2 linked regions of the Xenopus tropicalis genome follow. The protein of the gene in region 1 purifies or fractionates together with the protein of each later gene. This does not show direct contact. Links are inferred from orthologs where the notes say so. Each region holds a gene or a part of one and is shown on either strand. Other genes may lie near its edges.

The links. The genes of interacting proteins can lie anywhere in the genome.
Region 2: the proteins of cul4b (region 1) and cops6 purify together in Homo sapiens (affinity purification with mass spectrometry; 8 studies listed by BioGRID and IntAct, counting the BioPlex papers as one, with this or other methods). This does not show direct contact. The link is inferred for Xenopus tropicalis from reciprocal best matches to the Homo sapiens genes CUL4B and COPS6.

What each region holds. Positions count from the first base shown.
Region 1 is NC_030684.2:46,066,219-46,071,329, reverse strand, and holds part of cul4b (cullin-4B), read left to right. Parts: coding exon 1-32; intron 33-810; coding exon 811-915; intron 916-2,297; coding exon 2,298-2,408; intron 2,409-2,509; coding exon 2,510-2,595; intron 2,596-3,747; coding exon 3,748-3,855; intron 3,856-5,111.
Region 2 is NC_030679.2:144,242,134-144,246,126, forward strand, and holds the start of cops6 (COP9 signalosome complex subunit 6), read right to left. Parts: upstream 2,801-3,993; 5' UTR 2,780-2,800; coding exon 2,728-2,779; intron 2,460-2,727; exon of another isoform or gene 2,373-2,459; intron 1,369-2,372; coding exon 1,243-1,368; intron 1,152-1,242; coding exon 1,020-1,151; intron 1-1,019. UniProt on the Homo sapiens protein: Component of the COP9 signalosome complex (CSN), a complex involved in various cellular and developmental processes.

The sequences.
Region 1 (5,111 bases):
CAAACGACCAAATAAACCTGCTGAATTAATTGGTACAGCTTTTCTGCTATCCTATATATTTTATTAATACATTTGCTTAGTGTGGGAGGTGTTTTATCAGTGTTGTATCAATGTGTATATTTTATATCCCCCACAACCCTGAAATTTATTTTTTTCCCTGTACATAAGTAGTCGAAACATATTCTGTTGCAAAGTAATGTTTATCTTTAAAAGGGTTGTTTACTGTTATTAGAGGTTGGAAATATACAAATTGATACGGTCATTTAAATCATATTTGCTTTAATTAAAAGAAAAAAAAAGGAAAATTTTTCAAAATGGCTACCTGTAAAGTTTGTGCTGCATAAAGTCTTGTTGCTGTGCCAGCCAGAGGGCTCATATTCCAGGAAGGGGCAGGCAGTGCTCACTACTGTGCCTGCACCTTCATTGTTCCGATTGGCCGAATCACACCAGCCAATCAGATTTCCGATATGCAAATTAATTGAGCATCTGCAGTAGCAATCAGCTCCTTTACTACACTGCTTGTAAGGTCGGAATGACATGGACAGAATCTTACACAGCCAGGGTGTCGTGAACCCCCCTGGCTTGGGCAGAGAAGAGAGACCTAGAGATCTATGCAGCATTACCTTTTTTCAACTAAACCAAATTGCAAATAGGATTTAAATGAGTGTATCTATTTATATTTCAAAGCTGTAATAATGGTAAACCACCCTTTAAAACCACATAACCACTTCCTCATGGATGTAGTATTTCATATGACAGAACCTAAACTTTGAGCAAGGTATGATGATTTTATCATCTTCTGTATTTTAGCAAAATATGTTGATTCTAAACTTCGGACTGGGAACAAAGAAGCCACGGACGAAGAACTTGAGAAGATGTTGGATAAAATTATGATCATTTTTAGGTTCATTTATGGTATGTGGAACCAAAATTATTTATTTATTTATTTTATTGTAAGTTTAACACATGTATACCAACCTCTAAGTAAGCAATACTCATTTAACAAATGTGATATGCATGGGATAATAAAAAATAAGCATACCCTTTCTGTATCAAGTAGTTCACTGTCTTATGAGCTTGTGCCAAGTAGAGTTGGAACCAAATTTATAGGGGGGGGGAGGGGGTTTTCCAGGTTACGAATATTCTTAAGCTATAGAGAAAATACGTTAGCCTTTTAATAAAGCAGCCTTTCTGCCATTTACAACAAATGCTATGGGCTTAATAAGAATTTTTTTTTTTTTTTTATTATTTTTAAAGGCAAACTAAGCGCTGGCAATCTTTCTTTTTGTGTATAAATAATGGCTTTTTATCGTTTCTAGCAGCTGGTCAACTCCAGAATGTGGGTTAGACCGAGCGCTGGCACAAGAGTGTTTCTAGCAGCTGGTCAGCGCTACAGTGCGGGTTAGATTGAGCGCTGGCAATTTCTTTCTGTGCTATGGGCTCAATGTATAAGTTAAGGCACAGTTATCAACATCTTAACACCACCAAAATTGAGAATTAATAAGAACCTGGCATCTTGGTTGTTTTTATCCTATATGTTAAAATCTTCATTTGTTGCAGCCAGTGTGTTATCAGCTCTGATTTCTTTGTCCATCTTTATCTAAATGAGGCCCCACCTTTCTGTCATGTGCAGTGGAGCCTTAGATCATGCATATTCATGAACTGCTTCCAAAAAGTTCAAGTGCATATATCATGCTTTCTAGAAATAATGCACAATAAAGCAGTTTTTCTCCCAGTACTCTTAGGGGCCCATTCGTTAAACACATTTTTGCTGGTTAAAAGCATGATTGGAAAAGATTCTGAGTAACCACAAGAATTTCTGATGTACGAAAATTCTTTTCTCGGTCGTACCAAAATATTGTGGTTGCGATCCGAAAGTCACAATTTTCAGATCTGAACGATTGTAAAAAGCGCGAAAACCTTTCTGGCTTTTAAACTTCAATGTATGATTTTGGAAGCCTTCCATAGGGATCAATGGCACTCTACAGATCCAACCTGGCCAAAAGATAGTCACAATACCAAAGCTTGAATTCCGAAATGGTCGTAGCCTTTGAGAAAAAATATGACTTTTTCGTGGAAGTAATTTTAACGATATTATCATGGACATTCTGGGAAAAAATTTGTGCTTTTGTGAATGGGCCGTTAGACTACTTGCATTCCCTGGTGTTATTGGGCCTTTAAGGCATTGATAGGATATGGGTGTGTTTAAATTAGAAATAATGTACTTCTAATGTTTTTACAAATTGTATTGTATTTATATTGCCAAATAGAGTTGGTAAAAAAAAATTTTTTTTTAGGAAAGGATGTATTTGAGGCCTTCTACAAGAAAGATTTGGCAAAGAGGCTGCTAGTTGGTAAAAGTGCATCGGTAGATGCTGAAAAATCTATGCTTTCCAAATTGAAGCATGGTAAGCATGAAATATTGCTCGATAAGTATTTTTCCTATCATTTTCCAGTGTAGTGTCTGTGTGTATGTAATTATATTAAATATATAGTATCTCCTTTACAGAATGCGGAGCTGCATTTACCAGCAAACTTGAAGGAATGTTTAAAGACATGGAGCTGTCTAAAGACATAATGGTTCACTTTAAGCAGGTACATGATTATTATTATATTTTATAGAGTGCCTGCATATTCCACAGTGCTTTACACTCATAATGCATCATTTACATCAGTCCCTGTCTCAGTGGAGCTTAAGCTTCCTAAACAAAAAAAAGCACACTGTATTATTCTGGGCCTGGGGTGGGTAGAATGACAGGACAAAAAAAATACTAGTCTCCAGACACATTTAGTCTACATAAGTATTTAGGGTGTTGACCTCACTAGTGCCATGGCAAGGAGGTGTATCTGCTGACTAATATATTTTATTGATGCAACATCACTTAGAATATATGTTTTTACATAGACTGCTTATAGACCTTATTAACTTGCTCTTTGTTACCTTTTATAGACCTACATCCCAATAGACATACATTTTCTGGATAACACTGTAATTTATCTATATAATATTGAGCACTAAGTTTGCCTAGTTGCAGTAACCCCTAACTACTTGACTGGGTCTATACGTGATTAGATCTGCAAAGAACTTCCATATTAGTATTAAATATCTGGTAACAGTAGTTGTTTCCTCTGGCCCACCTCTGCTGTAGGTATTCTACCAAGGGGACTGGCAAAAGTAGTATTAGAATGATTTTTTTTTTAAGCCTCTTAGCCTCTTGTATAAATAAATTTAAAGCAACTGGACTTGTTAAGTAATCATTGAAGACGTTTCACTACTCATCCGAGCAGCTTCTTCAGTTCAAATGACTTCCCATACCAGTCATTTGAACTGAAGAAGCTGCTCGGATGAGTAGTGAAACGTCTTCAATGATTACTAAACAAGTCCAGTTGCTTTAAATTTATTTATACTAGATATACCATGACCTGGATGAATGAAAATCTTCATAGACACTCTTAGCCTCTTGCATTTATGGGAAAACTGCTGGCCCAAGGCCCATGTAAACATCTTTCATTGGTGGCTATGCTTTTTAGTGTTACTACTTATTTGTGCAATTGGACATTTTATTCTTATTGGAAATGTTTTGACAGGATTTACAGTGTTTGTGCCATTTTTCCATGTTTACATACACATAGCAATGCATGTGGCAGTATCAAAGCACAGAAGAAGTTTAATCGCTAGAAAAAATGATAAATGTGTTGTTTTTTTTTGTTTCCTCCCGCCCCCCCCCCCCCCCCCCCTTCCTTCAGTACATGCAGAACCAGAATGTCCCTGGCAACATTGAGCTTACAGTAAATATTCTAACAATGGGGTACTGGCCAACATATGTGCCTATGGAAGTTCATCTACCACCAGAGGTAAGGGTATCTAGACATATACCGTGTACTCATTTTGTGAGCAGTAATATTGCTTGCCATTGAACAACTCATTTCACATTTTTTAAATATTGTCCTATAACTGAATTATATTAACTTGTTTATCCAAAGGTTAATATTTACAGTTAACCTGAATGTTACATAAGCTTGTAATATGCAACCACCTGGTCTCTATATACCCTATGTAACACTCCTCATACAGTTTCCTACTGTCCCTTTTAGTTTTTCTCCCAGCATCTTAAAGGAATACTGTCATGGTAAAACGTGTTTTGAAAAAAAAAAAAAACATATCCGTTAACAGAGCTTCTCCAGCAGAATCCTGCATTGAAATCTGTTTTTCAAAAACAGATTATTATTTTTTTTTTTTATGGCTAGCCATACTCTTAATTTCCCAGGGTGCCACAGCCATGTGACTTGTGTGATAAACTTCAGTCACATTTTACTGCTGAGCTACAAGTTGGAGTGATATCAGCCCCCCCCCCACCCCAGCAGCCGATCAGCAGAACAATGGGAAGGGAGCAAGATAGCAGCTCCCAGTAGATATCGGAATAGCACTCAATAGTAAGAAATCCAAGTCTGGGTTGGGACTCCTCCAGTGACATGGGAGTAGGAGAAACAATAGGTTAGCTGAAAGCAGTTCTAATGTGTAGCGCTGGCTCCTTCTGAAAGCTCAGACTCCGGCACAATGCACTGAGATATCGCCTACACACCAATATTACAGCTAACGAAAATACATTTGTTGGTTCAAGAATAAAAGTTTAAATGGTAGAGTGAATTATTTGCTATGTAAGCAGTGTAATTTAGAAATAAAAATCATGACCGTATCCCTTTTTATTTTAACCCTATTTATTTTGAGTTACGTTCTTTTTGTTTTTAGAACCAATAAGCCACTCATTATCCAGTCTTCATCAACATTAAAGGATAGTCCCAGTCCAAGAACCCATTAACATACCTAAATAACCTCCTTATAAAACCATTGTTATTCCACTCTCAAGAGTTGGATGATCAACCACCAGATGTAATTTCCTTAGTGTTCATTAAAAAAAAATCTTTTCTGTCCATGTCCTCTGCAACTGAGATGTTTCACTATGTCCTGTTTAAGTACATCAACATGACAAATAAATTTCAGGAGCTCAAGTTGCTTCTGAACAAACCAGTGAGAGGGACAATCTAGAATAAAAATATAATATATAGGATATCCATGTATTGCAGACCGGTGCCTCCTGATAGCTCCAGGA
Region 2 (3,993 bases), on another chromosome or scaffold:
GAACAGCCCCCTAAGTTTGCCCATAGCCTGTACAGAGAGATACCTTAAAACTATGGCAGCATAGGGATTCCCCTGTACTAAGCCCAATTCAGCAGGAACAGCCCCCTAAGTTTGCCCATAGCCTGTACAGAGAGATACCGTAAAACTATGGCAGCATAGGGATCCCCCTGTACTAAGCCCAATTCAGCAGGAACAGCCCCCTAAGTTTGCTCATAGCCTGTACAGAGAGATACCATAAAACTATGGCACATAGGGATTCCCCTGTACTAAGCACAATTCAGCAGGAACAGCCCCCTAAGTTTGCCCATAGCCTGTACAGAGAGATACCGTAAAACTATGGCACATAGGGATTCCCCTGTACTAAGCACAATTCAGCAGGAACAGCCCCCTAAGTTTGCCCATAGCCTGTACAGAGAGATACCGTAAAACTATGGCACATAGGGATTCCCCTGTACCAAGCACAATTCAGCAGGAACAGACCCCTAAGTTTGCCCATAGCCTGTACAGAGAGATACCATAAAACTATGGCAGCATAAGGATTCCCCTATACTGAGCACAATTCAGCAGGAACAGTCCCCTAAGTTTGCTCATAGCCTGTACAGAGAGATACCATAAAACTATGGCAGCATAGGGATTCCCCTGTACTAAGCCCCCCTAAGTTTGCTCATAGCCTGTACAGAGAGATACCATAAAACTATGGCAGCATAGGGATTCCCCTGTACTAAGCACAATTCAGCAGGAACAGCCCCCTAAGTTTGCTCATAGCCTGTACAGAGAGATACCATAAAACTATGGCACATAGGGATTCCCCTGTACTAAGCACAATTCAGCAGGAACAGCCCCCTAAGTTTGCTCATAGCCTGTACAGAGAGATACCATAAAACTATGGCAGCATAGGGATTCCCCTGTACTAAGCCCAACATTTTTAGGTGCTATATAGTGATTAAAAGATGACCATTTCCATATTGTGTGTGGGAATTATAACATGTACGTGCCCCTAGTGGCACATAAGCACTTACATTGCTCTTCCTTGGTGTAATAGTACTCTTTATTAATGGTGATCTTTTCTTCGTTAATCTGAGAAAGCAGCTCAAACGAGTTCATCACCTCAATGTTTCTGCCCTCCTGCTTCCCGATTAGGGCTCCGATAACTGTGGGTGGGAGAGGGAAGGGGGGTCAGTAAGTGGGTGAAGCCTCAGGATCCATAGGAAGAAATGAGAGGAAGGGATAGTGGCACATTACCCTGCACCGGGCGCCCCTCCTGGGATCTCATGCGTATCCAGTGATCGGAGATGTTCAAGATGACGAGGGGATGGAGCGCAACTGTCACGCTGCCAGTTACCCCCTGCGCCATGACAGTGGGGAAGGCTAGGAAAGAAACGACAAAATGTTCAATAACAGTTCTAGTAAAAAAAATACATAGGGGAAGTTTGTACAATAATATCAAAAAAAGCTACCTTCTATACTGTGGGCATTTATCATATTCTACACATTTAATGCTGCTTTCCTAGTACAGAAAGTTCCGAATTAGGGAAAGGCCATCTTCTATAGACTCCATTTTAATAAAAGAATTCACATTTTTGAAAATGATTCTCTTTTCTCTGTAATAATAAAACAGTACCTGTACTTGATCCCAACTAAGATATAATTACCCCTTATTGGGGCAGAACAGCCCTATTGGGTTTATTTCATGGTTAAATGATTCCCTTTTCTCTGTAATAATAAAACAGTACCTGTACTTGATCCCAACTAAGATATAATTACCCCTTATTGGGGCAGAACAGCCCTATTGGGTTTATTTAATGGTTAAATGATTCCCTTTTCTCTGTAATAATAAAACAGTACCTGTACTTGATCCCAACTAAGATATAATTACCCCTTATTGGGGCAGAACAGCCCTATTGGGTTTATTTAATGGTTAAATGATTCCCTTTTCTCTGTAATAATAAAACAGTACCTGTACTTGATCCCAACTAAGATATAATTACCCCTTATTGGAGCCAAAACAATCCTATTGGGTTTATTTAAATTATTTTTTAATAGACTTAACGTAGGAGATCCAAATTACGGAAAGACCCCTTATCCAGAAAACCCCAGGTCCTGAGCATTCTGGATAATGGGTCCTATACCTATAAGATATTGTTACATTTGTTTTGGACCAGCTATGGTCACTCTTTTCTCCTCATAAAGTGACAGGTCTGGCTCATATTACCAGTGAATAGTTAAACAAACAGTATCTGCCCTCAGGTGTTTTCTCTGACAGAGCAGAAGGCTTTGCCCTTTGGGCAGCCATGTTTGGCCCTGGCAGAAATACAGCCAGACTGTAATACACAGGGAAGCATGTAATAGTTCAGTCATTATTTTGGTTACACATGATTTTCCTGTCACAACTCAAAGTCTGTATTTATGTGAATACTCCCAAGAAGCCATGTTGTTCCCTCACACACATAAAGCTTCACTTCAGCGCTTCACGTTACTGCGCGCCTGTTTCCATTGATTGACGTTTGGCACAGCCAATGGCGCTGCGCCACTCATTTCCTCCTTATCCGGACAACCAGTCCACACGCTATACAGGCAAGCCCGCATCCAATGGAGACCTATAGGCTTCACTGTAACGATTTCAGCGTAAAGCCGGTGTCTTCCTGTGTATTTTCATAAACTCCATATGAGAGCGAACTGTTTTGCTCCTGCTGCATTTTGCAATAGCCAAGCGCTTTACATACTCACCGGCGACGTCCACCTCCATCCCGCTGCCGTTCGAAGCAGCAGCCGCCGCCATCTTGCTCCACCCTGCACTGTGGCTCTTTACTAAGCTTGCGCATTTCCCAAGGTGCCTTTCGGTTATCATGTGATAGCCTGGCTTCCTAAACATGTCAGTCACACAAGGGGGTCTGTGGCAATGTTGGCTATAGGGCTTAAAGGGATTGTGTCATGATATTTATGGGGAACTTTTTATTTATTAAATGACACTGTTACACAGCAAATAATTCCCTCTGCCATTTAACCTTTTATTCTTGAACCAACAAATGTATTTGTAGCTGTAATATTGGTGTGTAGGCGCCATCTCAGTGCATTGTGCCTGAGTCTGAGCTTTCAGCCAGCGCTACACATTAGAACTGCTTTCAGCTAACCTATTGTTTCTCCTACTCCCATGTAACTGGAGGAGTCCCAAGCCGGACTTGGATTTCTTACTATTTAGTGCTATTCTGATACCTACTGGGAGCTGCTATCTTGCTCCCTTCCCATTGTTCTGCTGATTGGCTGCTGGGGGTGAGGGGGGGGTATCACTCCAACTTGCAGCGCAGCAGTAAAGTGTGCCTGAGTCTGAGCTTTCAGAAGGAGCAAGTGCTACACATTAGAACTACTTTCAGCTAACCTATTGTTTCTCCTACTCCCATGTAACTGGAGGAGTCCCAAGCCGGACTTGGATTTCTTACTATTGAGTGCTATTCTGATACCTACTGGGAGCTGCTATCTTGCTCCCTTCCCATTGTTCTGCTGATTGGCTGCTGGGGGTGAGGGGGGGGTGGTATCACTCCAACTTGCAGCACAGCAGTAAAGTGTGAGTGAAGTTTATCAGAGCACAGGTCACATGGCTGTGGTACCCTGGGAAATGAAGAATATGGCTAGCCCCATGGGAAAAACAGATTACAATGCAGGATTCTGCTCTATTAACTGATGGGTTTTGTAACAAACATGTTTTCCCATGTCAGTGTTCTTTTAAATTAAGCCTAGACCTTATACAAAAATTCAGTCTCTCCCGGGGGATATATGGTAAATGCTAACTAGTGACTTGCCGTTTCATGGAGATAGTAAGTTATGTATAAACAACCCCCTCCCACAGTTTGTTGTGTCTGTCGAACAGATACGCTGATGGGTAATCTGTTCCCCCGTGCTCTAATGAACTACTTTTTTCCTCCCAAAAGTGCTCGCAAGAACCAGGAAGTTGGAAGCTGAAATTAGTTACAAAAAAAACATGGATTTTTTTTTTCC